Linked DNA regions of Mus musculus. The protein of the gene in region 4 purifies or fractionates together with the protein of the main gene of each other region. This does not show direct contact. Links are inferred from orthologs where the notes say so. Each region holds a gene or a part of one and is shown on either strand. Other genes may lie near its edges.

Region 1 (3,476 bases), on a different chromosome or scaffold from region 4:
AACCAAACCTGTAATGTCAGAGTTACTAAGTTTTCCTTGTAGTTGTTTGTTTAGAAATTTCTTTTTAAAAGGCAAGAAAAATGGAAATAGCATGATTATAAAATTACTATGCTAGTGTGTGCAAGTTGTCAAATATGACCATATTTAACTAAGAAACACTGCCTCCTCCCAAAGGGAATGTGTTCCTGAGATGCCTGAGGCCCCCACTGGCTCTCATCAGAATGCAGGAGTTTTCAAATAACTGCTTCAAGTCCCATGAAGACCTAAGTAATGGACCTCCTGGTATCAGTTTTACCCACATGTAACTCCTGACACAATTACATGTGCCTGGAAAAACAGGTATACACATCCACCCACTGAAGATATAAGCCAATGTGTTTAATGTTCTTGGTTTCTCCAGTACTTAACTATGAGTACTAATGCCCTCTACAGTCACCCTCCAGTCACATGGCTGGCCAGGTGTCACAACTCATTATCACTGCTCAGCATCATCAGAATCCAAGAGAATCTCATACTATGTATTGCTGCCTTAGGAGACGATCAAGCTTCAAAGTGCAGTTTCTATGAGATGCTGGTCACCTTTCCACTACTATAAAGTCAAAAACTCATCAGCCAGGGGCTATCTGTATTGACTTTCAGAGCTTCAAAAAGAAAACCACAATAATAACTTATGGGAAATCAGGGTTTTATAATACATTTGGACATGAACAAAATACATTAAAAGGTAAACTCTTTTAAAGCACTCTATATACACTTGGCCATAAGCAAAAACAAAACCTGATACAGAGTTTGAAAAATAAAAGTCACATTATTTTAAAAATAAAATTTTAAAAGTTTGGAATATCTTTATTAACCAGAACTATCAGAATTTCTGCCTACTTTTCAATACCTAACTTTATATCCTCACAAAACAAGACTTGAATGTAAAGATGAGCTTGTCTTCCCAATCAGTTATCAGTAAGACATTATGCTTCTTTCAAGGGCTTATCAAAATGCGACCAGCTGATCTACCCAGTCTCAGGTTGCTGGCAAGAGATGAAGGCTTGCCTCCTTTAGAAACCAGCCTGTTCTGTCTATATTGACAGCAACACTCTAGTACCTTCTTAAGGCTAGTTTCCAATTCCCTAAATAACTGATTTGATCATGTTTGATTTTTCTTGACTCGAGGTTTAAATAAAATAGTTGTAAAAATTCACAAGGCAGTAGTATTCTGAGGTCCATATTTCATCCACGATCTGAAAATACATCCAGACATTAAGAAAAACATTATATTGATGTGATATAATTGACTATTGGTGACTAACAGGAACAAAGCTGCTCTCTTATTCTGGAGCTGAATGAAGCCTGGCTATTATATTTAGCATTAAATTAATAAAGTGTGCATTCTTTCCCTATAGATAGTGCTGTATGAATGTCCTTTTCAGGTTTCTTTATTAATATTCTAAGTGCAGTAAAATACTTCTAAAGATGACATAAAATAGTTTATGCTGTGTATGACTTTGAGTTTAGATGTGTTCTTGTCTTTGCAAACTAAAAATCAGGTATCTTTTGCCAAAAGTATAAAGAAAGAATGAACCTAGGGGGCGAGAGATCAACAATATGACTGACTTTTTATGTTCTTTTTTTTTTTTTTAAAGGACTCCTGATTTTACATGTGAAAATGCAAGAGTATCAACACCTCACAAAAATGTTTGAATTAAGGACTGAGAACAGATTATAACATGGAGGAAAGTTTCCTCTTAATAAACATTGAAGATATTCATCCCTAAGTAAAATAATAATGAAATATAATTCAAAAGGACAGATGTTATAAATTCTTCTGGGGAAATTTATGGATTCTATCCTTAGATTCTAGCACAGGTGAACATGAATCCTAAGTAGAAAGAAGTCACATCCAGCACCACATCAGAATTACAGTTTATTAGCAGAATAAAGTAGAAAATGGTCAGGTAAACAAATAATACACAACAAAGTGCACTAGAAATAAAACTGAGTAAGGCAAGATGGATAAGGTTCACAATATTGGGAAAGACACAAACTGGGAAAAGCAACTGTAAACATGGACATTTGATCACCAAATCCAAACAGTCACACAAGCCGTCTTTTGTGACTAAACAGAATTAAAGGACCTGTGTCAGGTGGCCTTGCTGGTTTCTCCATCCTGATTAGCTGCTGGTTCTAGAATCTCATTCATTCTTAAAACCTCTTCATAGAGCAAATAGTTCTGCAGACTTCTGGGAAGTGGCAACTGATGGATGAAAATGTCAGAGTGAAGGTGCTCTGCTTTTAGACTGGCCCGAATTTCCAAACGACAAAGATGGGTTAGGCTTGGAACAGAGGCTGGAGAAACAAACAAACATAATTTTCACTAACAGTGGACTGAATAAATGGTTGGAAAAGTAATAGCTCTTGTTGTGAAAGCATGACGACCTGAGTTTGAACTTCAGAAACAATGGAAAAGCCACAGTGGCGGCCAGCACCTCTTACCCAGACAAAAACAGGAGCATCAGTGTAGCTTGCTGGCTACCTCCAGATCCAATGAGAGACCCTGTATCAAGGCAAGTGATATACTAACATCCTCCTGTGGCCCCCAACATGTACACACTATCATGAATACTTACAAAACATACACATACACACAAGCAATACATTAAGATAAGCATCCAGCCCATTTTATACAATAAAAAAGAAACACTACGTTGCTTAGCTCATTTTGAAAGAAGACTACTGGTTCAGCATGACTACATGAAACGTGTATGTACTTTTTCCACTTGCTTGATCTCACTTCAATTGGTCACATACTCAAGTCAGCATCCAGAGACAGAAAAAATAAGTCTTTAAATTTTAATAATCTGACAACACAAGCTAACACTTAAGAAAACCCTAAGTAGAAATTGCTATTTCCCTCTTAGTCTGTTTTACTACCAAAGGTTCTGAACGTAACACATGAAACCGAGGGATGTGCAGCCTGACCATTTCCTCTTTGCATCTATGACAGAAAATAAAGTTTCAAGGTCTGTGAAGATGGCTCAGAAGTTAATAACATTAGCTGTTCTTCCAAAGGACCCAGGCTCAAATTGTAGCATCTACATGGTGGCTCACAACTGCCTATAACTCCAGTTTCAGGGGATCCACTACCCTCTTCTGACTTTAATAGGCACCAGGCATGCATGTGATACACAGAAATACATGCATAAAAAAAATCCAGAAAATTAAAAAAAATACTTTTTTTAAGAAAGAAATTTCAAAATCGGCACAGAAACAGAACATTCACTGAGTGTTCTCTATGCTACACACCCACCACATATTCTAGTTTTGTATTATTTATTCCAGGGTACACATACATATACATATACAGTTTTTGTTTGTTTCTTTGGGCTCCTAAAGTTATGTTGTACCACTGATCTGCCCCAGACTCTGGGATTTATTATCATACTTTAATAATATGGGAAAATGGAGGTTTAAAAAGAAATTTC
Region 2 (4,072 bases), on a different chromosome or scaffold from region 4:
GCTTGCACACTACGATCCTCTTTGCGCCAACTTCCAAGTGGATCACAGGTATATAACATGTTCAGCTTGGCAAGGAAAAAACATTTTTTGAGTAGTAACTAGGAATCTAACTTAGGACATCGTGAGTGCTAGGCAGGTAGTCTCCTACTGAAATATATCCTCAGCTCTCTTTTACTTTTTAGTTTCAGGTAGATCTGACTAATAAATGAATTGAATCCACAACTGTAGCTTTAAAAGGCTTGGCTTGGCAAACACTCTATAAGGCTGCAGTTCTTAGCCTGTGGGTTGTGATCCCTTTGGCAAACCTCTATTTCCAAAAATGCTTTCATTAGGTTGAGAACCACTGGTTTAGGGCCTTCATGACTGTTGTGTTTTTCTTCAAATGAAATGATGTACCTATCAGAGAATCAATTATCAGACAAATTTGTGGGCCAGGAAGTAACCTAGTGCCTAGGCTTGGCAAAGAAAGAGACAGGGTGTTCCTACCTTCATGTTCAACAGCAGGGGTCCTTGCTGCTACGTGGAAGGCTCCACCTCTTGTTTCTGTTTGGAAATGAGCTGCGCTTCCTTTAGGGACAGGTACACCTCTTCCTGAGGATCATAGTAGTAGAACTTTCGAATGTAAGAGATCAGAGGTCTGTGGAAAAACAAGGAGACAGAGAGGGTACCATTTACAGGGACATTTCTCAGAAACTATGACTGCTGTTTCCTTTAAGAATACATCTCTTGCTGAGCCCTCCTCCCTTCTCCATTTCTTCATATTGTATGACACACACATCTTGCTCCCTTTGCTGCAATGTCACAGCTCTAGAGTTAAGTGCTAAGAATCGAAAGAACACTGCCTACAAACGCTTTACGTCAGGCTTGGCCTCCAGGAGCAGCTTGCAAGCGTCAAAGGCACTTCCACTTCTAGTTCACTCCCTCCCCACCCCAAACCCTGACAACCCCATTGTACTTAGGCAGTGGCAGATCCGGAATATGGTCTATTCGGACAAGCTGCCGGATCCGGAATCTGCAAAGATGCTGGAGGGACTTGACATTGCTGAATCTGGACACTGGATAGAGCAGCTGTACTGGAGTTGGTGGCAGTCCTTCAAGAATAAAACCAAAGGAAGATACTCAGAATAACGAAGCTAACTACAGCTCCCAGAAGAAGTGCTGTGGGGAAGATGTCACAGGGCTATTTTAGAGTTCATGTATATACTCTGTGTTAAAGCCCCTTACAAAGGGCTGTTGAGAGCCATCTGTGAGAGCACCATTACCATTCAAGGGAATTTCCTGTCCTCTGATTACCTCCCCAGCAACATTTTGGTTTATTGACAGGCTAGCCTCAACCTAAAGCAATCCTCCTGTCTTAGCCTCCTGAGTACTGGGACCATAGATGTAAGTCCCAATACTTGGGTTCCAGAATCACTCTCCTTCTTCTTCTTCTTCTTCTTCTCCTTCTTCTTCTTCTTCTTTTTTTTTTTTTTTTCAAAACAGGGTTTCTCTGTGTAGTCCTGGCTGTCCTGGAACTCACTTTGTAGACCAGACTGGCCTCGGACTCAGAAATCCACCTGCCTCTGCCTCCCAAGTGCTGGGATTAAAGGCGTGCGCCACCACTGCTGGGCCCAGAATCACTCTTAATTGTGGAAAATAGCCCAATGAACAAGACCACGATAGAGCCTGCTTGGAGCCAAGGGACCAAGTCCAAGCGTGAGGTTCTCAGGGAAGGACAACCCAGAGCCTCCCTGTTGGGAACGGGGATACTTGTGCAGCACTATTTAGCAGTATCTTAAAGATCAGAGCTCAGGATATTCAGAGGTACAGTGGTTTGAATAGCCTTTATGGCCAGAAAGGGTCACATGTTGAGAGGCCAGTCCTTTCTGTGGAGGTTTTGGTACAGAATATTTCAGCTCAAAGGCCCCACAGCATTCCAACTAGTGAGCAGGAAGGGGGCAGGTGGAGCTGGTATCCAGGCTGCCACTCCTGCAACTGTCTACTCAGGCCAGGCCAGGCCAGGCCAGCTTGGTACTTTTCTTCCCTCGCTATTCTCCCTCTCCTACTGGAGCTTAGGCTGGGTTACAGGAACAACACCAATGCTTCTGAAAGACAGCTACTGCAGCTGCACAAGCTGGGCCTCATGCAACAGTGCTCAGGTGCCTGTCCTGTGTACCTGCCAGGCTCCAAGCAAACACTCCTACATGGGTCAGAGCTCCTGTGCTGGGGAAGCCCAACCCCCACAGTCAATGCCACAGAACCCAGCCACCAAGGACAAGGACATCAGGGACTAAAACATTCAAATGAACTAACAATGTTCTGGTTTCCATAGCAATGGGACTATGAAGATTAAGAGAAGCAAACTAAAGATTGAGAAGTGGACTGGAGAGATGGCTCAGAGGTTAAGAGCGCTGACTGCTCTTCCAGAGGTCCTGAGTTCAATTTTCAGCAACCACAAGGTGGCTCACAACCATCTGTAATGAGATCTAATACCCTCTTCTGGAGTGTCTGAAGACAGTGATAGTACACTCACATTTGGTTTTTCAAGATAGGATTTTTCTGTGTAGTCCTGGCTGCCCTGGAACCTGTTCTGTAGACCAGGCTCTAGGCTGGCCTTGAACTCAGAGACCCACCTGCTTTTGCCTCCTGAGTGCAAGGACTAGAAGTGTGTGACACCACACCCAGCTAGGAATTATTTTCTTAGCCACTGTCATATCCAAAGAAATACTACAAACACAAATGGTTAGAAAATAAAATTCTACAATTACTGGGGTTTAATTTCAAACAGCTTTAAAATTTTTTGATTGAAGGCCTGAGGAAAAAAGGAAGTGAAGGCTGTAGATTGTCTCCAAAGCCATGTCATGGTTGCTGACGTGTTCCCTCATGAGGGTCCAGGGGGAACAAGGATTCTATCAGGAATTGCGCTAGAGGCCACTAATGTACGATTTTAGCCAAGAATGTGCCTTCATTCTGTTTACAGCTTGAGAACCTGAGACAGAGGAAAGCTAATGGACTAATTTGTTTGGCAAAGGAAATTTCAAAACCAGAGAGTGCTCAGGCTAATCCTGAGAAAGCAGTTGTAATTGTTAGAGACCAGCACCACTGAAGGGAGAGTGCCTATCTTCACTAACACAACAGGAAGGCGTCCCGAAGGAAAGCTCTGCCCTTAGAGGTCCATCTTGTGTGTGAAGACCTAGATTCATTTTAACAGAGAATCCAGGCTCTCAAACCCCCGGAACCCTGGAAAGCCGGAAGTGTTTGATTCTATAGGAACTCACAGTTAAGACCTTGGACTTGGCCTGGCAGTGGTGGTACACGCCTTTAATCCCAGCACTTGGGAGGCAGAGGCAGGTTAATTTCTGAGTTCGAGGCTAGCCTGGTCTATAAAGTGAGTTCCAGGACAGCCAGAGCTACACAGAGAAACCCTGTCTCGATAAACCAAAAAAAAAAAAAAAAAAAAAATAGACCTTGGACTTTTTTAAAAAACTGGTGATGGGTCGGCAAGGTGGCTCAGTGGGTAAAGACACTGAATTCAAGCCCGGCAGCCTGAATTCAATCTCCAGAGCCCATATGGTAGATAGAGGAAAGACCCAACTCCAGTAAGCTGTCCTCTGATGGTTCATGAGCACTAGGCACACAAATGTATATACATATACACAAATAAATAAACACAATTTTTTTAATTAAAAAGAAGATGAAATTGGCTGGGCAGTGGCACCCGCCTTTAAGCCCAGCACTCACAGAGGCAGTGGATGTCTCTGAGTTCAAGGCCAGTCTGGTCTACAGAGTGAGCTTCAGGACAGCCAGGGATACACAGAGAAACTCTGTCTTGGAAAAACAAAAAAGATGAAATTGTTAAAGACAATGGGGATCGTTAAAGTCAGTTGGAATATATAATATACATTATTAACATGGTCATGAGCCTCTAAGGGGCAAGAGGTGGAGTTGTGATAGTTAGCACGGCCATTTAACAGATCTATAATCACCGTGGATGCTGTGAGCATGGCTGTGTAGAGTACCCTTGATGATTTTTAGCTGAGGCAGGAAGACCCATTCAGGTAAACACTGATACAAATGAAATAAATCTAAAGAA
Region 3 (4,072 bases), on a different chromosome or scaffold from region 4:
AATGACATATCACCAAGCACTGTCTGTATGCCAGGCGTCCTTTAAAGTGCTCTTCACAGTCACCCTTTAATTCAAAAGTGACCCCACAATCTGAGCCTCTTGCTTCATGTATTCTTCATACATCCCAGCGAGGGGGAACTTGCACCACGTGGCAAAACAGAACCCTGCCGTCTCTTTTGCCAAGCCTGGTTTTGAGGCTAACACCTCCCACTTTTGTTGGATCGGCACACAGTAGGCTGTTAGAAGGCAGTTAGAAGTCTGCGTCCTAAGCATTGACAGCAGGCCCTGTCCTGCTGCACCAAGCTAGAGGAGACCTTAGTCAACAGGTCATGGTGGCCTGACCCTTGGCCAATAGAGAGGTGCTAAGTTCCTGGAACTCATTCAAGCCCCATGTGGAAATCCTGGCACCCCGCCCCAGGCCAGCCCAGTGCCATTATCTAAGGTGGGGCCTGAATCCGGGCTGTACAGCCAAGGTCAGGAGCCCCTGCCTTCAAGGGTCCTTGGCCAAATTCTTTTCCTGCTCACAGGGTCTTTGGAAATCTACCTGCTCTGCTATAAGACACTGGAAATGGATGACAGTAAATGTGCCTAAGGAATGGGGATGCTAGGTTCCTCTATCAGCCATGCCCCAACACACCCCACCCAGTGTGCTGAAGAGCAGGCACATCTGGCAAATGGCCTCAGGCTCCAGGCGTTTTGCTCCGGGCCAGGGGTAGGCAGGGTGTTTTGGCAGGTGGCTGAATGCCTATGGAATGTCACATCAAATCCCTTCTCAGCCTGTGGGAGGCCAGCATGGGGAGGGCCTCTGATGCCACATGCCCAGGGTGTGAGCAGAGAACAGTGGCCCAGCCAGGTGGCAGGGGCTGCTGGGAATCCAACTTTAACCCTTCGCTGGGAAACCCTCAGGAAAGCAGTTGTATGCATGTACAGGAAGGTCTGGGGCTCTGGGGGACAGTGTAGGAACCTTTGGGGCCTTTGGTTCATTTTCAGTGGCTATTTCTCTTCCCCTATCCATCCCCTGCCTCACTGACAGTGCCAAACATAATCTGTTCTCTTTCTTCTGAGAGTCTGAGAAGTTAGAGCACCCCCCAGTGTGGCACCCAGGGCACACGGCATGGCTTTTCTAGTAACTGTGAATTACTGTCTCACTATACCACTGTGGTGAATGTTTCCTTTGAAAACGATTTTAAGGAAAAGGATATTTTAAAACTAGTGAAAGTTGTCTAAAATCAAAAGAAAGCTTGCCAGGGTCTGTGACTGGGAACTGCCCTACCAGTAGAGGATATCCTAGGCATGGGGATGGTCCCACTGAGGCACGAGGCTCTTAGCTACCTGGTCAGTTTCTTCTTCTATAAAAGGGGCTGTCCCACAGCTCGGCAGTGAGTCCACACTTTAGAAATGACCAGTGTCCATCTGCAAGGACAACCAGCATCCCCCTGACCACCCCACCCAATCACCCTTTCCCACCCACAGTGTATAGGTGCTAAATTCCTAGCAATTGGCTCTCAGATGAGTGGGGTGTTGGAGGTGCCAGAGAAAAGCTCACTCCATGGTGTACAAGCTCCCACCATGGTCAGTGTTGTGCTACATGTGAGTGAACATGTTCCTGGGGGGCGGGGCTGCAGTGGACACATGAGCCCAGACAGGCAGCCTCCAGTGCGCTCTGCTCCAGCCCTTGCCAGGTCCCTTCTACGGGGGCCAGCATGGAGCTTAGGTCTGGATGATCTTTCATCACATCATGAATGCGTGTGGACTGTTCATCTCTGTGTTTGTGGGGGGAGAGATTTCCCTCCCACAGACTGCTTCTGGAGAAGTTGAGCTTCTCCCACCCGAGCATGATGTTTAGGGAGGTACCCGGTGACTGGTCCCTGTCCGTTGCTGTGAGCATCCTCAGCAAACAGCTAGCTGACCTGCAGGTTATCTCTGCATCCTCCCACCCCACCGAAAAACAAACCAAACCAAACAAGCAAACAAAGAAAGAGTCCTCTCAGGGGCCATGGAGATCAAGTGCCCTGCCCCGCCCCTGCCCTCCTTAGGCATCCCCGGAGAGCTGTGCTATACACAGTAAGGGCTATGGACTGACCTATAGTTGCCCTTCTTGGAGGCAACATGCAGGGGGAGCAGGCCGTCCTTGTTGGCTTTGTTAGCATCGGCGCCCTGAGAGAGAAGAAACTCTACCACGTCTTCATGCTCATTCTTGCTGGCCTCGTAGAGGGCTGATGCACTGTCACTGGCCTGCGTGTTGATGTCTGCACCTGGAGAGGGAGAAGCAAGCAGAGCCATGAACGATCAGTGGTTCTGCCATAATTTAGTGCCACTGTGTGGTGAGCACCTCCAAGCTAACCACTGGGTGAGTAGGCTGGGCCATGCCTACTGCCTGAATCCAGGAGGACCCATCAGACGTCAGAGCTAAGGTAAGTTCCTTGTCACAAAACCTCGTCTACCCTGTTTCTCTGAATCCATATGGAGTCCTGAGAGGCCAAGTTTTTCATCACAGACCAGGACACAGGACATGAGAGGACTCAGGATAACCCACTCATAGATGTGAAGCTACACTTGAATGTATGGTCGGAAGATGTATTCTAGACTAGGCTTTCAGCCCTCACTACGGGCCCTAGGCTGTGTGCCCTGGCAGCAGCAGCAGCTCCAGCTAGGTACAAAGCTCCTTAAAGGAAATCCTACTGACTGTTAGTTGGATTTGGGGTTGATGGTTGTGGTTGGTTGTGGTTGGTTGGTTGGTTGGTTGGTTGGTTGGTCTGAGGCATCATCTTATGTAGCCCAGGCTCGCCTTGAATTCCATATGTAGCCAAGGATGGCCTTGAACTTTTGAACCTCCTGCCTCTAACTCTAGAGTGCTGGAGATTGGACCCAAAGCTTTGTATAGGATAAGCAAGCACTACCAACTGAGCCACAACCCCAGTCCTGGGCTTGTTTTGTTCTCCATCTGAAATAGGAAAGAACTGGCTTCTGCTATCTTCTTAAGGAACCATGGAGGGACTGGAGAAATGGCTAACTGGTGAGGACCATGTACACATCTTACAGAGGACACGGGCTTCAGTTCCCAGTACCCACAGTGGCTCACAACTACCTGTAACTCCAGCTCCAGGAGATCTGATATCTGTGGGTAGTTATACATCACACACACACACACACACACACACACAAACACCCATACACACACACACACACACACACACACTTTAAAAAAATCATGAAAATAAATTTAAAAAAGAAACTAAACACTGAGCCATGCTTGTAGGAAGGGGGCTGAAGCCTGGTAGCAGCTTCCTGCCATCATCTTATCTTTTACATCTTCTGCATCTCTTGGAGTGAGAGAGCAAACCGGTGTGCACATGATTTCTCTGTAGGCTCCACACTGTAGACGAAGATTAGCTGAGATAGCTCAGTAAAGGCTGAGATCAAAGGCTTGTGTCAGCCACAGCTCCTCTGTCAGAGCCATCTGCTCCTCTCACCCTTTCCGATGACTTCATTTTCAGCAGCGGAGGACTTGTCCTGGCCTTCTGAGAAGAGCACCAGGCCTTGAGGGCTCATCAGGACCATGAAAGTTTCTGTACCATGACTCCCAAGCTCTGGGGCCTTAGACAGCTTTTAGAAGCCTCAGTTTACCTGCTTGTTAGTCAAGAGTCATAGTCCTGCCCTCTCCTGTTTAGGGTGAGGTGTAAATAACATAACAGAAACATAGCACCAGCCTCAGAAGCCACTGCTGTCTAGACAGAGCTCAGGGCAGAGACTGTCCCTTCCCTCAGAGGAACAGTATAGGGACACCTTTAACAAGCCCCTGGGCCTCATGCTTAGGCTCCCCCGCAGGCCTAGGCTTGAGCAAAGCAGCCTGCTCACATAAGGAAAATATTTGTATAGGAACTGGCTTTAACTCCCCATGAAGGGAGCAGTCCCTGCCTCAATATCGGCAGGGAAGAGGGCGACTGCCTGGAGAGGAGGTCCCCCTCACCCACTGCACCCTTGCCCTCAGCACAGCTTGCTGGCCTGGGCTCCAGGACTCCACTGAGTTGTCAGAGTGTTCATTGCAGTCATCCCTGGCTAAGAGCCTTAG
Region 4 (4,072 bases):
TATAAACTTAACTGTAGTGTGTCTTTGTTAGAACTCCTTAAACACATTTAACACCAGCTCAGTCTCTCCCTCTTCTCATCCTCTTTCGTTTTCCACTTTGGCAATTAGCCTCTTTTCATATTGTTTTTTATAAATTCCTCAATATTGTGCATTTTGTGTTGAAAGTCATATTTCGAGTGTCATGAATTTAAAAATTTTACAGTAGCTTAGTTATGTAGTTCAGTGGTAGAATGTATGCCTAACATGTACAAGGCCAGAGATTTAACTCTCAGCACCAAAAATCCAATTTTAGAAGCCATCCCAGCTATGTGACACAATGCTATTTTAAAAACAAAGCCAAACAGAAAATAAAACAAACCCATAAAGTCCTTCTAAGTTCAGCATCTGGGAGTTCCGTTGCAAGTTTTAGATTTTCAAAGCTGATTTTCTCTCTAGGCCTTTGGTTCCATGCAAACAACACAGCCAACTGAAACGTGGTTACTTCCAAATCATACTGACCTACTTCATTTTTAAATGTTATCTGTAATAGATAATGGGCTTTAATAAGTAACTCATTTCTTCATGAAGCTTACTCCAATACCTAGTAAATGCACATAAGATACTATGGGAAAATGAGATTGCTAGTTTTCCCCAAGACCCATTCTTCCTTACTCAGAGGTAATAATCTTAGCACACATACAATGCATCGCCCAGATTTCCCTGCAGCTCAATGTGGTCACTCATGTGACTTCATTCTGTCCAATGTGTTTGAAGTAGAAATGGTGAGGAGAATGCTTATAGGTTGCCTTAAAAGAAGGTTCTTCTCCCTTCTTGCCCTCCTTTTTGCAGGGAGACAGAGAGGGTTGTTTGGGGATCAGACTGGATTCTACAGTCAAGAGGTCTGTTTGGTAAGCAACACAATGATGAAAACTACAGTCCTGAAAACACAGCCACTGTTCTTGTTCTTAGCTTTTTGTTTTGTTTTTACTTTATTTTACATGTGTGGGTGTTTTGTTTGCATAAATGCCTATGCACCACAAATGCCTATAGAGGCCAGAAGAGGGCATCAAATCTATTTGGGATTGAAGTTATGAATATGTGAGCTGCTATGTGGTTGCCTGGAATTGAATCCAGATCTTCTGGAAAAGCAGAGTTCGTAACCACGGAAACATCTCTCCAGCTCTTAAGTAACACTTTCTACTAACACCCAAACTGACAGCCCATCTACTTACAATTCCATTTGACATGAGATGGTGCCAGTGTAATTTTCTACCACTGTGATTTTTTTTGTAAAATTCTTCTACTTCAGGTATCAAATCCTCCAGTTCAGTAGGAAGTGAGACAAAGACTTTCTCGGAGCTTCTAGACCAAGCACCAGCATTCAAAATCTTTATATTAACGGAATCAGCTGCAGGTAAGAAAACCAGAAATCATAACTTTTTGAGACAAGTTAAAATTTGGTGAAAAATCTTGTTTAAGAAAGATTTTGTTGGGGGCTGGTGAGATGGCTCAGTGGGTAAGAGCACCGACTGCTCTTCTAAAGGTCAGGAGTTCAAATTCCAGCAACCACATGGTGGCTCACAACCATCCGTAACAAGATCTGACTCCGTCTTCTGGAGTGTCTGAAGACGGCTATGGTGTACTTACATATAATAAATAAATAAATCTTCAAAAAAAAAAAGAAAGATTTTGTTAAAAGAAAAAGAAAGATTTTTTAAGCTTAAATATATACTTATATGTAATTATAAATAATACCTGGTAATGCCAACTTATTATTTTTGTGCATTTCCTTAAAAGCTTGGTTCAAGTCTTCAGATACTTTTATGTCCTGAAACATTCTAGCAAGCTTGTTCACATAATCTGCTGGCATACCAACTTCCTATGAAAATAAAGACAGATAATAATTATATATAGTGTAATAAATACTATTACATGATTCGTATTAAATAAACAGTAGTTTTTGGTACTCTTTGCTCTGTTCAATTCCAGTGTGCATGGATTTCAGTTACCACAGTGTGAATAAAATCAACTCCCACTCCAACTACTGTTGACACTATGTAAGATAAATGTGTTTGCATGGACTGCAACCTACACCTTTAACTCCTCAATCCATACGGTCAGGACAAATGACAGAAGGCTGTCACTGGTATAGCTCAGTCATAGCATGCTAAGGGTCTTTGTACATGGTCACTAACTAAACCCATTCATCAGGATGGCCTTGACAAATTCGAGGAAGATGATCCTCTAAGCCTCTACACTTCCTTTATTTACAGTTAGGAACTACCACTCCAGCCTCTTAAAAAATTACATCGGTTACTATTTATTTACAAATATGTCTATAGTTAAGCATTTCTTACCAGACATGGTTTTAAAAAGTTGCTGTTTTGTCTTGGATACTACTTAAGTAAAATCAGTTAAAATTGAGAGTGGAAATGAAAGTACAACAGTAAAAAGAAAGCAAGATTAAAATTAAGAAAATTCACGTTATTAGATACTACTATTTATATATTTTATTATATATTCTTATAAAATGAATCTGTCTGACATTAATAGCAATTCTAAAACAATTACTTTAGCATGCACATGAATAATATGCTGTATCAATAACAGGAACATAAAAAAAAACACTTTAGGCAAATGAGATGGCTCATCAGGTAAAGGTGCTTGTTGAAACAACTCATCATCTGCATTCAATTCCTACACCAAGGTAGGAATCTGTTAAATTTCAAATCCAAAACAGTCACCCAAGATGCCGATTTAACATATCTGAGATGCATATTAACATATCAAACAGACTTGGCCTCTGAGTTCTCCTGGCATCCCTCAGCCCCCTATTCCAGACATTTTGGTTATCCTCCCCCATTCTGTACCTCTGGCCTCCTGGCTGCTAAATCTGGCTCCAGTCTCTCCCTTCACCTTTCTCTCTCCTCTCATGGCTCAGGGTCATGACCACCCTGGACTCTCCCAGCTGTGTCTGCCTCTTGCTGTGTCTCCTTTTGCTTACAATAAGCTTTCACCTCCACCACACCTACAGCATCAGTCACATCCCTTTCTTTTTCTTTCTTTCTCCCTTTTTTTTCTCCATTCATCTTTTGTAGAAACCAAGGCAGTGACTTAAATGAGTTCCCTTCCCAAGGAACTCCGCAGCTCCTATCCAAGCTGCTGAGCTGACTGTCCTAAGGAATGTATGGGCCATTTGTTTCTGCTGGCTTCTGCCACCCGCCAAATTTGATTCTCTCAGCTGCTTTTTCCCTCCACCTTAACTCCCTACTACACTCTTGTGGGCTGTCCACATCTCTCTGGAATAGCCTCTGAGGCCTCCCCACACTAGCAATTCTATTTAATAAGACACTTGCACCTCTCTAGCTGTTTTCTCTTCTACATGCACTAACATGTAGACAAAACAGTGAGGCGCCTATTAAACACCACCAATAAAATTTTTAAAAATTGTTGTACTTACTCTTAGCCACTCTACCATGTTTTCTTCAATCTCACTATCAGCAGAGATGTCCAATATGAGACGTCGGGTAAGATGAGCTTTGTGATACCTCATAAAAACATCTTTGTTTTGTACATATTTAAGTACCAAGAGCTGCACAGAAGACAAAATTACTTTCAATTCTTATATACTCAGCCATTTCTTTCATGTAGACCTTTCTATATGCCCAACAGCAAAGATGAAGAGATTTACAAAGACAGGCCTGTTAGAGTACTCATCTCTGAGAAACTAATTCTAAGTAACTGCTTCAACAGCAAATCTGTTCTACAGCAAATCTTGCTTCTATTCATTCCTTCATTCATTTATTTATTTTTGAGACAGGGTATGTCCTGGAACTCATTACATACACCAGGCTGGCTTCAAGCCCAGAGATTCACCTACCTTTGCCTCCTGCATGTTAGGATTAAAGGTGCAGCACTATGTCTAGCTACACACTTGAGACTTTAAACCAACTAATCTTTTAGTTCCTACTATCCAAATTTTTCAGACTGTATATGAATGTGATAAGACCTTATGAGAAAACTAGAAGTAACTTCTCGGCACATCTTAATCCCTCCCTTTGTGACAGCAAATCATGTCCCCAGGCCTTTCTGT
Region 5 (3,479 bases), on a different chromosome or scaffold from region 4:
AAGCATCTTAAGCAGAGTGTGTATTATTCAACTACTGTTACAGGACTGGTATTTGCTGTGGTTATAAAAAGTAAATATTCATAGAGATTATTTTTATAATTTTAAAATCCTATTTTTTGTATATTTAAAATTTGACAATTTTAGAAAGTTTTAAATCTTATTTTTAAAATTATAGTATACAAGTTAAATGGGGGGTAACCCCTAAGGTTAGAGATGCCTCTGTTTTTTGTATAATATAGCTGCTGCCATGAGGAAGCACTTGGTAGTCTTTTCTGGCTTCCCTAACTACTTCCATATACTTGGCCAACATGAACGTATCAATACTCAGTGGATGGTCATAGCCTTTAGATCATACATGGCTAAGAGTGCCTTCTTGAGGACCCAGACTATCAGCCTCTATCACTAACCAGGCCGGCTTACTTTGAGGCGGTCCACTGCTCTGAGGTCTTCTTTTGCTCTGCTGTTCTTTGCTCTACAGCATTAAGTGTGCCTGAGGAGGAACACTGTGTGGGTGCTATGGCAGCACCCAGGACACGGTGGTGGAACACACCGCACACATGCTCGCACAAAGTGATGCTTCCTGTACATGCTTCCATCCTTCCTCACTGCCTTCTGCACTGAGCATCTGTGGACCCACCAGCAACCTTACAGTACAGCTAGACAAAAGGACTACACAATGCAACCCATGAAAGAAATATCGGCAATGTAGTAGTTTTGTGTCGTTTAATTAAAAAAACTCAACAGGGATAAAAAAACAAGCATTTTACATAATGCATACATTCTCAACATCTGCAGATGAGATAAATAAAAGAAGGCTAAAGCAGACATACTGTGTATTGCTTCTCTTTGGTAAGTTACCAATATCCTCTGCAGAAATAAAATATGTTAAAAACAAAACCCATGGTCTTAAAATAATTGTCCCTTAGTATTAACAAAATATTCAGCAATAATACAGTAGATGTAGTTTTCAAATTGACAAGAATGCATAATACTTTATTCTCTGAGGGGTAAGTAGCTGCTTTCCAAAATTAAGGCTGATGAGAGCCAACCTTTTTTTCTAGCTACCTTTTTCCTTGGCTCTTTTTTTAATCATCACATTCAAACTCCCAGACACCATTCTTTTGGAAACTCTTTTTCACATCCAAAACCTCTTATCAGTTTCACACCATCTATCCTGACCAATTCCATTTCCTATGAGGCAATTCATCTCATCTAAACTTAGTGCCCCCAAATAAAAAAAAAAAGAACAAAAATTCCCCTGAATTTGCTCTAATGAACAGCACATATACAAATCGTGGCTCTATTAAAGCAATATATACAGGTCAGAACTAAGAGAAAACTAAAGGGCCCATTCAATATATAGCAGCAGCTCATGTCTAAATATATACATGTATGTAATGTTTTCACAGTTATCTTAAAAAAATTACATGATATGTTCAGAAATATTTCTATGGTGTATAAATAATGCTTTAAAAGTCCAACTAATGAAATGAAGAATAAGAGTGGATTCCAATTAAATAAATCTGCTGAGCCTCCAAGGACAGACGCTTGAGCTGGTAAAGCTTGAGGTGTGTCTTGTAAAGGGCGCTCTGTCTGGCAGGCCTACCAGGAAAGGCAGTCTTCAGTCTAACCGCGGTAGGAGAGAAACGCCAATATTTTGGAAGGAACAGGCAGTTTTTGGACTTCTTGGGTGGACATCACTCTTCGGATTGACATGCGACATATATGTTGAAGGCTAGGGACTTGCCTTGGAGTGGCCCAAAAATACACACTTCCATCATGTGTCCTTCAGAGAAATGGAAAAACAAAATCATGGTTACACAACTACACTTGTCCTATGTCCCTACAGCTGTAGATCAGATCCATACATCTCACCTTAGACTCTAATAAGAACTCCAAGGCAAGGCAAGTAGCAGGATTATATAAAGAGTTTGTCTAGGAAATTTACAGAATCATACATAAAAGAAAAATAAGTTTTCAAAAGAAAAAGAAACAAGAAAAATGTATTTACCCAGCAGCTAAAACACTGCCATCAGTAGAAAAGGCACAGCAAAGACCATTGCTCAAAGGTGCAACTTGTACCGGACAATCCTCATCGATTCTCCAGAACCTCACCATTCTGGAAGGGAAATCCAGAATGAGTAAGTCAGAAAGCAATGCTCCTGTCCTGTGTTCTGATCACAGCATGCATACGCACGAGTCACTCAAACAGCATGGTAACTTTGGTTGAGATGGGCTCATATGCACACAATCCGGGCCAGCATCAAATTCTTGAACTTGCTTTTACTGCCCAAAGGGCTGGGATTACAGGTCTGTCTTCTCCACCTAGTTAATATGTTTGTTTTGTTTGAGGTTGGGTCTCACTACACAGTTCAAGCTAGAAGCTTCCCAAATGCTGCAATTACAGGCATTCTATACTATCGTGCTTTATATATCTATACAGACTAGTTTACATTTTATTATCATTTGGTAATTTGGATAAACTCCAAAGAGATTACAAGGCATGGCTTTGAACCTGTAATGTTCACAACTGGAAGCTTTGTCATTTTCTTACAAATAAAATATAACACAATCTGATTTACTCCTTTCTACATTTGTCTAATCTCAAAAGCAGTGGCCATCAATTTACAGGTGTATCACCACAGCCAGTTAAGCAAAAAAACAACACCTTCCAAAGTGTTGTCTAGAAAGACAGGATGGGCATGGTGGTTCACATAGAATTCTCAGCATTCAGGAGGCAGAGGTAAAAGGATCTTTAGTTCAAGATCAATCTGGCCCATATACCAAAACCATTTCAAATACAAACAACTCCTGTACAAAAACCTAAATCAAGCTTATGAGTGTGTTATGAGTTAAAGCACACTTTCATTAAAAATCACGACTACAGACAAAACTATATTATACTCCATAATACTCACTTATCATCAGCAAGGCTGGCAACATGCAGTCCATCATGACTGAAAGACACAGCTCTCACCCATCGGTCATTTGCTCCTCCAGCAAATATTGGAGTGGGCGAGGGAAACAGGTGCCTGGGGTCAGAGACACATTTGCAAAGTTTCAGAATCAATTCAAGAAACAAAATAGCCCTGGTACCGAGTTCACTGGCCTCTGAATAAGGTTTAAAGTGGGGCTTTGATGATACAACTAAGACTGAAGAGAACTGTTACAGCCGAATTCAATGAAACAGAGAGCTGTTCATTTTACATTTTTGTTAGGGATTCTAACTTTATACAAATTCTTCAAATCTATATATACTGAAAGCCAATGTTGGGTTACTAACTGAAATAATTCATGTGGTACTCACCCAAACTCCATCAGAAGGTCTCCATTGTGTGGATCCCAGACATACACACGAGTGTCATAGGATGCAGTAGCTAGCAATGCTCCATCAGGAGAAAAGTCACAAGCTACAACATCATGGTGATGACCTTCCAGCTTCCTAATCATGGTGTATTTATCCATATTCCAAAGGAAAA
Region 6 (4,872 bases), on a different chromosome or scaffold from region 4:
TTAATCTACTTTTCAAGTGAATTCAGAGCCCTTGCCCTAAGTTGTAACTAGTCCCTAGTGCTAATAAGCTTGGGCTTAATCTTAGATAAGCCACTTAGTTCTATTGCTACACTACTGATCTAAAATAGTCATATTAAAATTTGGGACACCAGTTGAAAATAGAGTAATGTATTTATATGCTTACAGCTCAGTTTAGGAAAAAACCTTTAACACATGTCCTACATAATCAAGAAAGCCATCCTCTTCACCCTATCCCAGTTCTATAAATTAATCTTCAGCAGGTACCACATTAGATATATTTCATTTGTACTAGACATTTATGTTACTGAATTTTTTTACTGAAGTAAAAGCTAATTCCACATTAAAAGAATTCCAGTAATAATAATAATAATAAAAATCAGCCACCTGTTTTTATAGCTACTACCTACCAGACAGCACTACATTGAACATCAGAAGGTAAGGCAAGCTGGTCTGAGTTACTAAACTGCTCACAGTCACAGACTGCCAGAGGAGCTGTGGTAAAACCAGCACTGTTTAGCCAAAGGCTTTTGTTTTGTACACAATATGGATACAGGTGTTAAAGACTCACAAAAGAACACCATTCTTTGTTAACTTCTTGTTAATACTTTGATAATCAAGTATAATGTGCATTGTGTTGGTAAACTGTCATATGCTGTTTAAGTCTGTTGAAAGTGGATGATGAGAGTGAGGACTCTCCTGTACCAACGCCAGTATGTTTGTTTCTAGTAGTCTCCAAATGTTCTCCAAAGTACCTCTTCCTGGAGCTTGGTGGGTACCTAATTCTATGATGGGTGAAAGGAAGAACAAAACAGCGCAAGAGTAAAACAATTTGTCCTTGAGAATAGCTAAAAGACTAGCCATTTACAAGACTGTTTATTGCATGGTATAAAAATGCCTTGGTAGAAACAAGAAACCAGAAGTTCAGCCATGGCAATCTCAAACATGGAGAGAAAAGAAAGTTCAATTGGTAACTCCAACCGACAGCCTCAACTTCTCCAGTTGATTTCTACTAGATGACTGTAAGTGCCCAACTTGATGATGTTATCTATCTACTATCTATCTATCTATTTTTCTTAACTTGGAAGCTTCACTTGGGTTCTCTATCAGGAATTTCAAATGGCTGCTTCAAATGGAATTTTCGCAGATGATTTCTGCTGTTACCTTTTGTTTGGTCTCTCAACTGTGCTATCCCAGTCATCCCTACTAAAGTGAATACTCAACTTGATGTTTTCTATCAACTACTTCTGTTACTAACTAGTTCTTTTACTTTTGCTTGCTATATATACTTAATAAATTCACTCATTTAAAACAGAAAGTGTGACTATTGTAGATCATTCTCTAGACTACACAGAACACCAAGGTAGCCCTATCAATTGCTTTTGGTGGAGAGTGGGTGAATAATGATAGAGTGTGGTACTTAGTATTAGCTTTGTCTGACAATCTAATATTGCCTTGCATAGAAGCATCACTACTTGCTGCTGAGATAGATGTGATCAGTCACCATGTCAAAAGAAAGAAAGAAAGCCCTAAAACATACTTGAAAATACTCTCTCCAAACCAAACAGTATCACTGCACAAGAATGCAGTGCAGTAGATTCCAACTGAAAGCAAAGAACTATTTTTTAGGAGATTGTCCTTCCTTTACTACCCTACGATACACACTTTGCTACTTGCTGTAATGCTTATTACAGTTCCCATTCAGAACTGATTAGCACAGGCCAACAGAAGAAAAGGGCATAGGAAAAAAACTGAGCAGCACAGGACCCCAAGTGGACAACAACAACACAAGTGAAGCTGGACTAAAGAACCCTGTTTCATATCTATACTGCGTTTGAAAAAACTGCGACAGCTGGCCCACAGTCAAGTGGATGTCACTTTCTTAGGGGATACCTTGCTAGGAACATGTATTCTAAACCATCATCCTGCCAGCAGAACGAGGAAAATAGCCAAGGCTTCTTGTCTTGAAAACCAGAACTCTTGGAGGGTGTGCCTCAAATGCATATCACTTGTGGTCTGCATCTGAATGAAAGCTGACCAGTAGTATGTACTGACTAGGGACAATTCCTACTGTTTCGTGCGTGGAAAAGCTTTGGGACTAACCGAAATTAAAAAAAAAAAGAAAAGAAAAGAAAAAAAGAAAAATGAGTCCCTTCTCCCAAGTCTCCCAGCAAGGTCTCAGAGGAGGATGGAGAAAAGCCAGGGCAAAAGGAGAGACCAAATGCCACCACCTCAAGAGGGCCCACTTCAATTCCCTTTATATATAATCAGTGCTGAGCCTCTTAAATACCTCGTTCTAGAGACAACCTACCAGACGTAATGGAGCCCACTTTAGCAATGTCTTCAATAAGAACAGAGAACAACAGTGCAGGGCCCAAGAGAGCAGAGGGCAGATACTCAAGATGACGGAGTTGATGGCAGAGGCACAGGCCTAATAAAGAAACAAAGGGTCCAGGCCCCAGGGGTTCTCTCCAGCTACTTTAGATCTTTCCCCAAAGGGGTCTTTTTTTTCTCCTCTGTAGGATACTCTGCCTTCTTCCCAATATCCACCCTAGGTATAATTTGTTTCAATCATGGTCAATGCCCGACTTGCCCTTGAGCTAATTGCAAACATTTCCTACTTAATTAGAAATAGGTTGTAGAACTAGAGCAATCAGATCCCAGAATTAGCAACAGGCGGGGGGTGGGGGGGCACGCTGGAGGGGAGGGAGGTGCTGGGCAGGGAGATGGGGGGGCGGGGGTGACAGGCGCTGGGGTTCGAAACTCTCGGAGATGGTAAGATACACGGACGCTGGGGAACGGGTAACCAGAGCTGGAGAAGGGATATGGAGGGAAGGGCCGAGGGGCAGAGACGGCTCTACCTCGGCGCTCAGCAGCCCCCGTATTGAGTCTCGGAGAGCAGTTCTTCAGACGCTTCTGTCGCTTCGGACGGACCTCAGCCGCTGTAAACATCCGCTGCTACCTCTGCGCGTGCGCGGGCTCTACCTGAACTGAGCATGTGCGGTTGGAGGACACTCTTAAAGGGGCAACGGCACAGCCCACGAGCCTGCCACTTTCCACCCACTGGTTTGAGTTAAGTGTGTCCCTGCCTGATTGGTCAGTCACTAGGTGGTCTCCGAGCATATCCCGGCCTAATGATATGAGAAGATGCTGGCGTGTCGACGGGAGAAGGGCATTTTGCCTGCTTATGTCCACTCAAGGACAAAGCCCCCACAGTAGAAAAGGCAGGAGTTAAGAAACAAGAGTGATAGATTGGGTCCACTCTCCTGCAGGAGTTACAACACAAATGACTGCCGGCCCTGACCCTGCCAGGCTACCTGGTCCAGGGGATGGCCATCTGCACACTTGAACCTTGAACCAGCAGTTCTGGCCACTTCTAAGAAACCTACAAAATAGACCAAAGTCTAAGTGATCTTTAGGGCTACCTTTCAAGATTGTTCTGAGTTTTTGTTCTATTTCATTGGGATTGCACATCTCCTCTATACTGCTTGGAGGGTACATGTTGAAGGAAGTAGTGTCAAGAAGGAAGGAGTCTGGACGCCTGAGTCAATAGCTGTAAGAAAGTCACTCAACCTGCAGTTGATTGTGGTACGAATGAGGAGAAAATGATTCTACTATTTTTTAAAGTTTGCGTGGGAAGGCTAAAGACCCGAACTAGATAACACAATATTGATCAAAAACAAAACAAAACAAAAGTATAGGCCTAACAACATCTGATTTCATGACTTACTATTAAAATTACAGTAATCAAGAGTCATATGGGGGAAATAAATTGATGCTATCAAATACAAAACTTAGGTTAGAGCTATACAAATATAGTAAACTCACCTTTGATAAGAGAACAAATACAATTCAATGGAGGAGTGCTGGTCTTTTCAACAAAAGATGCTGGAATAATTAGACATCCACGTGTAAAAATAATAGAGACATAGCTCTTCCAAATTTGATTTCCAGTACCCAAGACACTTGGCCTTTGCAGGCACTCAGGCATGTGCACACACACACACACACACACACACACACACACACACTTAAAGGTAAAATATATCTTTTTAACACTGGCATCATTTCTCTGTAAAATATACTGTCAGAAGAATAAAAAGGTAAGACATAGACTGAAAAACAATATTCCCAAAACACATATCTGATAAAGGATTTCTAAAAATCCTTAAAACTCAACAATAAGAAAATAAACAGCACAAATAGAAACGGGAAAAAGCTATGAACATATGACTCAGCAAAGGAAATATACAGATGGCAAATGAGCATATGAACATATCAACATAATTTGTCATTAGGTGATGCAGATTTATAAAACAATGAGATATCAATACACACCTATTAGAATAGCCAAAATTTATAAAATCTATAATTCACCAAATACTGGTGAGGATGTAGAGCAACAGCAGCACATCACTTTCATTGCTGGTGGGAATGAGCAATAATAAAGATACTCTGGAAAATAGTTTGTCAGTTTGCTACTGAACTAAGCAACGTCTTAGAAGATGTGACAGCAAACAAGTGTAATGCCAGCACTTAGTGGTGGAGGAAGAAGGACCAGGAGATTAAGGTCATACTTTGGCAGTGTAATAGGTTCAAGACTAGCCAGGGCTGTACAAAACTATTCCAACATACATAAAACTTTTTAAAAAATCACCATTTGAATTCCTAGATATTTACCACTATACACAAAACCAGCACATGTAGGTAGTATAACAGCTTCATTTGTAATCATCAAACATTAGAAGCAACAAAAAATATTAAATAGATGGGAGGTATAGCCACATAACTGTTTTAATCAGGGATTTTTTGAAAAGTGAGCTACTGAGCTATGAAAGGACATGTAGCAACCTT
Region 7 (4,072 bases), on a different chromosome or scaffold from region 4:
TGCACTCTGAGAACGTGACATCTTCCTAGGAAATGGGTTACACTGGTGACTGAAGTGCCTAAGGGATCCGGGGAAGACTTCTTTTGCAGGGCTGAATATAAAAAAGCAACTAAGCAATAACACGGCAAACAAGTGAGGTAAATGGTTTTGGTTTGGTTGCTTGGGATGGGAGGGGAGGCGATGCATAAGTCACTGTTATGTGTTGCCTCAAATCTATAAACCACACAGCAGGAACACCTTCTTTTCTGTGTTGACAACAAAGAGACAGGATGGCAAGGAAGCCTCACCCAAAGCCGTCCGCATGACGGCAGCAATGCCTCCTCCAAGCTACTCCAAGAGTAACAGGTAGTCCTTCAAAGACACTGGCAGTGGGAGACCCTTCACTGCGTCGGGCAGGTACTGGAGACCGAGGCTACGGCGCACAGCATAGCGGGCGAGGGTTTTAAGCGTCCCTGGTGCTGAGCACAACACAGTCAGTTTTTCACACAGCTGCTGGTCTTTGGTCACTTCTCGGGGCATGATGCCGTTTTTCCTTAATTCAAACTGTCCAACAGCTCTATGGAGGAGCTCAAAGCAGGAGTCTTCTTTTTCTGTTCCAAGTCCTCTCACTAGCAGAGCCACCAGGCGGGAGATGGGTGTCTGGCCTTTTAAGTTGATGACTCTGACCTCAGCACCATAATCAAGAAGGATGCTGACACTCTCAAGATTTCCCTTCATGGCAGCCCAGCTGAGCGGCGTATCGTTGTTGTAATCCAGGGCATTGACGGAGGCCCCGCTCTCCAGGAGAGCCCGCACACACTCAGCATTGTTCTTAAAGGCTGCCCAATGAAGCGGGGTGTCTCTGTTGCCGTCCAGTGCATTGGGGTTTGCCCCATACTCCAGTAGGACCTCCACACAAGCCTCATCTTTCTCTGCTGCATAGTGGAGGGCCGTTCGGTTGTAACCATCCAGGGCATTGACCTGCAGAGAGGAAGGAACTATTTTACACTGGGCAGGGCACTGGGAGAAGGAAGAGGCTGTCAGAGAGTCCTCTGCTTATTCTCCCACTGCCTTTGTCATGCAATGCTCTCAACAATGTGGGAAGTGATGAGCAAGATGGGATGAGGGACGTAGAAAACTGTCTGACCTCAGACAGCTATCAGGCTAACCAGTGCCCACCTCTCTGCTTATGAGCATTGCTGCCCTGGGCAGGGAAGAAGGAGGGAAGGATGAAGTCCAAGTCTGCACTACTGCTGAGAGAAATACAGCATTATTTTACCCTGACACTTATCGTGTGATTAATGGAAACCAGGAGGAAAAATAATGATGACAGAACTCAGTTCTTTCACTTTGTTGTGCTTTTAACCCTACAGAGACTCAGATAACCTCACTGGCAGGAAGAGCACAAACTTGCAGTGCTGGGATAGCTGCTGCCTCACTCAAACTATCATCTCAAAGTCCTAGTTTACAGAGGGCCTAAGATGCTCTTCACACCCTGTGTCTTAGTTTGGGTTTCCATGGCTGAGACGAGACACCATGACCAAGGAAACTCCTTCACAGCCGTCAGAGCTTCAGTCCGTTGCACGGATGGTGGAAGCACGGCGATGTCCAGGCAGACACGGTGCTCGTGGTGCTGGGGAAGGAGCTGTGAGTTCTCCATCTTGATGCGCAGGCAGAAGGAGGAGCCTGCTGTGCTTTATACTAAACAGTTTGAACATTTATGGAACCTCAAAGCCCACCCACACAGAGATGGACTTCCTCCAACAAGGCCACACCTCCTAATAATGCTGCTCTCTCTGAGTCAAGCATCCAGATGCATGCATCTAAGGGGGCCAAACCTATTCAAGCTACCACATTCCATTCCCTGGCCCCCATATAGGCTTGTACCCATAACACAATGCAATATGCATTTACCCCAACTTCAAAAGTCCCCATAGTCTATCACAGTCTCAGCAATGTTTAAAATTAGAAGTCTAAAATTCAAAGTATGTTCTGAGATTCATGCAATCTCTTAACTGTAATCCTCTCTAATATCAAAATCAAAAGCCTATCACATACTTCTGACATCACAGGATATACATTACCATTCCAAACGTTATAGTGAGGAAATACAGGACCAAAGCACGACCAAACACCAAACTGCCTCTCCATCTTCTTTCAGCTTTGTTGATTGCAACACAGCTCTTTTTCTTGGGCTGCTTCCACTCCCTGTTAGCAGCTCTCCTCAGCAGATAGCCCATGGCTCTGGCATCTCTAACACCTTGGGGTCTCCAAAGGAACTTCGACTTTACAGCTTCTTGTTCCTATGTTTGGGACCCACACGTGATCTGGGCTCGGGTCACTCATCCAGCTCTGCCCCCTGTAGCACTCTAGGCTCGGGCTGAGCCACTCCACTGCTGCCGCCACTCTTGGTGATCATCCCATGGTACTGGCATCTACAACATACTGGGGTCTTCTGCTTCAACTAGACTTTACCAATAGCCTCTCATAGGCTCTCTTCATAGTGCCAAGCCTCAACTCCTTTGTATGACCCCTTCAGCCATAGGCCGTAAAGTACAACAGAGGCTGCACCTTCACACATGGCCTTCCATGGCCTCTCACAGTGCTAAGCCTCAGCTGCTCTTCATGACCCCTTCATGCCTTCAAGACCAGTACTACCTGGGTGACTCTTACACATCACCAAGTCCAGCTGCAGCACGAGGTGCAACCTTGGCTATCTCTGGAACACAGTCTCTGTGCTCTCAGAAAACACTTCCCAGAAGATGTCACCTTGGGCTGGAGAGATGGCTCAGCAGGTAAGAGCACTGACTGCTCTTCCAAAGGTCCTGAGTTCAATTCCCAGCAACCACATGGTGACTCACAACCATCTGTAATGAGATCTGACACCCTCTTCTGGTGTGTCTAAAGACAACTACAGTGTATTTAGTTAGTTATTTAGTTAATTTTTTTTAAGACAGGGTTTCTCTGTGTAGCCCTGGCTGTCCTGGAATTCACTCTGTAGATCAGGCTGGCCTCGAACTCAGAAATCCGCCTGCCTCTGCCTCCCAAGTGCTGGGATTAAAGGCGTGCGTCACCACTGCCCGGCCAGTGCACTTAGTTATAATAATAAATCAATCTTTGGGCAGAGCGAGCAGAGACTGAGCGTGCAGGGTTGGTCAGTGTAAGCAGAGGTCCTAAATTCAATTCCCAACAACCAGATGAAGGTACACAACCATCTGTACAGCTACAGTGGACTCATATACATAAATAAATAGATCGTTAAAATAATTTCACCTCAGAGATGCTGGTCTCTTTATCACCACTAATCTCTTACTTCTAGCTAACCAGCATCAGCTGCCCCAGTAACCCCTTCTACTCTTGACTCTAAACCCAGAGCCACATTGCCAAAGCTGCCGAGTTCTGCTGCTTTGCTGGGGGCTGGAACACGACCCCCTTTTCCTGTTACATTCTCACCAGCTTTCTCTTTTCTAGCTCCTTCAGCTTGGCTGTCCTGGACTGACCCTGGCTCTGTAGACTGACCTTGAACTCGGAGATCTGCTGGCCTCTGTCTCCAGTGGTGTTGGGATTTCTATAAGCTTTTCCTTTTCACAGGATGAAGTTGAGTTTTGTGGGATCTTGTCCCAAGGTCACCACTCCCTTAATTCCATTTGATATCTTTAACCTATTAATCTCCTTGAACACAAGATTTAGCTCCATCCCACTTCCTGGTGTCCTTCTAATCCTCAAACTACACATTTTCTTTTTTTCCTTTCTAAGCTTGCTACATTTCATGAAAATGTTCTTCAGAGGACCGAGCCACACGCTTCCATGATGAGGTTAGGCTGTTCTGAAAGCTTGTTTGCTAATTCAATTAATATAAATCTCTCCACTTTAGCCTCAGACAGACTCTTCCAGACAAGGGCAAAAGCGGCCACAGTCTTCACCAAATTATCATCAATCTCTAGGCCACACACTAAACCTTTTCTCCTCTGAAACCCCTTGAGCCAAGCCTCATAGCCCAGTCACCCTTAGTACAACTGTTTGCCTTGCTCTTACTGGGATGGCTCATTAAGCCACGATCACACATTCCACTGCTTTCCTAATCCACAGCTTC

Evidence for each region.
Region 1: the proteins of Cul5 (region 4) and Asb3 purify together in Homo sapiens (affinity purification with mass spectrometry; 6 studies listed by BioGRID, counting the BioPlex papers as one). This does not show direct contact. The link is inferred for Mus musculus from reciprocal best matches to the Homo sapiens genes CUL5 and ASB3.
Region 2: the proteins of Cul5 (region 4) and Socs7 purify together in Homo sapiens (affinity purification with mass spectrometry; 4 studies listed by BioGRID and IntAct, counting the BioPlex papers as one, with this or other methods). This does not show direct contact. The link is inferred for Mus musculus from reciprocal best matches to the Homo sapiens genes CUL5 and SOCS7.
Region 3: the proteins of Cul5 (region 4) and Asb2 purify together in Homo sapiens (affinity purification with western blotting; 5 studies listed by BioGRID and IntAct, counting the BioPlex papers as one, with this or other methods). This does not show direct contact. The link is inferred for Mus musculus from reciprocal best matches to the Homo sapiens genes CUL5 and ASB2.
Region 5: the proteins of Cul5 (region 4) and Wsb1 purify together in Homo sapiens (affinity purification with mass spectrometry; 4 studies listed by BioGRID and IntAct, counting the BioPlex papers as one, with this or other methods). This does not show direct contact. The link is inferred for Mus musculus from reciprocal best matches to the Homo sapiens genes CUL5 and WSB1.
Region 6: the proteins of Cul5 (region 4) and Pcmtd2 purify together in Homo sapiens (affinity purification with mass spectrometry; 4 studies listed by BioGRID and IntAct, counting the BioPlex papers as one, with this or other methods). This does not show direct contact. The link is inferred for Mus musculus from reciprocal best matches to the Homo sapiens genes CUL5 and PCMTD2.
Region 7: the proteins of Cul5 (region 4) and Asb8 purify together in Homo sapiens (affinity purification with mass spectrometry; 3 studies listed by BioGRID and IntAct, counting the BioPlex papers as one, with this or other methods). This does not show direct contact. The link is inferred for Mus musculus from reciprocal best matches to the Homo sapiens genes CUL5 and ASB8.

The regions. Positions count from the first base shown.
Region 1 is NC_000077.6:31,099,901-31,103,376, reverse strand, and holds the end of Asb3 (ankyrin repeat and SOCS box protein 3), read right to left. Parts: intron 2,341-3,476; coding exon 2,135-2,340; 3' UTR 673-2,134; downstream 1-672. UniProt on the Homo sapiens protein: Probable substrate-recognition component of a SCF-like ECS (Elongin-Cullin-SOCS-box protein) E3 ubiquitin-protein ligase complex which mediates the ubiquitination and subsequent proteasomal degradation of target proteins. Recognizes TNFRSF1B.
Region 2 is NC_000077.6:97,386,131-97,390,202, reverse strand, and holds part of Socs7 (suppressor of cytokine signaling 7), read right to left. Parts: intron 1,092-4,072; coding exon 956-1,091; intron 638-955; coding exon 517-637; 3' UTR 487-516; intron 1-486. UniProt on the Homo sapiens protein: Substrate-recognition component of a cullin-5-RING E3 ubiquitin-protein ligase complex (ECS complex, also named CRL5 complex), which mediates the ubiquitination and subsequent proteasomal degradation of target proteins, such as DAB1 and IRS1.
Region 3 is NC_000078.6:103,328,262-103,332,333, forward strand, and holds part of Asb2 (ankyrin repeat and SOCS box protein 2), read right to left. Parts: intron 2,256-4,072; coding exon 2,084-2,255; intron 1-2,083. UniProt on the Homo sapiens protein: Substrate-recognition component of a SCF-like ECS (Elongin-Cullin-SOCS-box protein) E3 ubiquitin-protein ligase complex which mediates the ubiquitination and subsequent proteasomal degradation of target proteins.
Region 4 is NC_000075.6:53,622,424-53,626,495, forward strand, and holds part of Cul5 (cullin-5), read right to left. Parts: intron 3,572-4,072; coding exon 3,440-3,571; intron 1,859-3,439; coding exon 1,735-1,858; intron 1,388-1,734; coding exon 1,212-1,387; intron 521-1,211; coding exon 359-520; intron 1-358. UniProt on the Homo sapiens protein: Core component of multiple cullin-5-RING E3 ubiquitin-protein ligase complexes (ECS complexes, also named CRL5 complexes), which mediate the ubiquitination and subsequent proteasomal degradation of target proteins.
Region 5 is NC_000077.6:79,238,677-79,242,155, forward strand, and holds the end of Wsb1 (WD repeat and SOCS box-containing protein 1), read right to left. Parts: coding exon 3,308-3,479; intron 3,033-3,307; coding exon 2,919-3,032; intron 2,120-2,918; coding exon 2,012-2,119; intron 1,787-2,011; coding exon 1,627-1,786; 3' UTR 706-1,626; downstream 1-705. UniProt on the Homo sapiens protein: Probable substrate-recognition component of a SCF-like ECS (Elongin-Cullin-SOCS-box protein) E3 ubiquitin ligase complex which mediates the ubiquitination and subsequent proteasomal degradation of target proteins.
Region 6 is NC_000068.7:181,835,992-181,840,863, reverse strand, and holds the start of Pcmtd2 (protein-L-isoaspartate O-methyltransferase domain-containing protein 2), read right to left. Parts: upstream 3,011-4,872; 5' UTR 2,880-3,010; intron 2,656-2,879; exon of another isoform or gene 2,330-2,655; intron 1-2,329. UniProt on the Homo sapiens protein: May act as a substrate recognition component of an ECS (Elongin BC-CUL5-SOCS-box protein) E3 ubiquitin ligase complex which mediates the ubiquitination and subsequent proteasomal degradation of target proteins.
Region 7 is NC_000081.6:98,135,479-98,139,550, forward strand, and holds part of Asb8 (ankyrin repeat and SOCS box protein 8), read right to left. Parts: intron 961-4,072; coding exon 328-960; 3' UTR 1-327. UniProt on the Homo sapiens protein: May be a substrate-recognition component of a SCF-like ECS (Elongin-Cullin-SOCS-box protein) E3 ubiquitin-protein ligase complex which mediates the ubiquitination and subsequent proteasomal degradation of target proteins.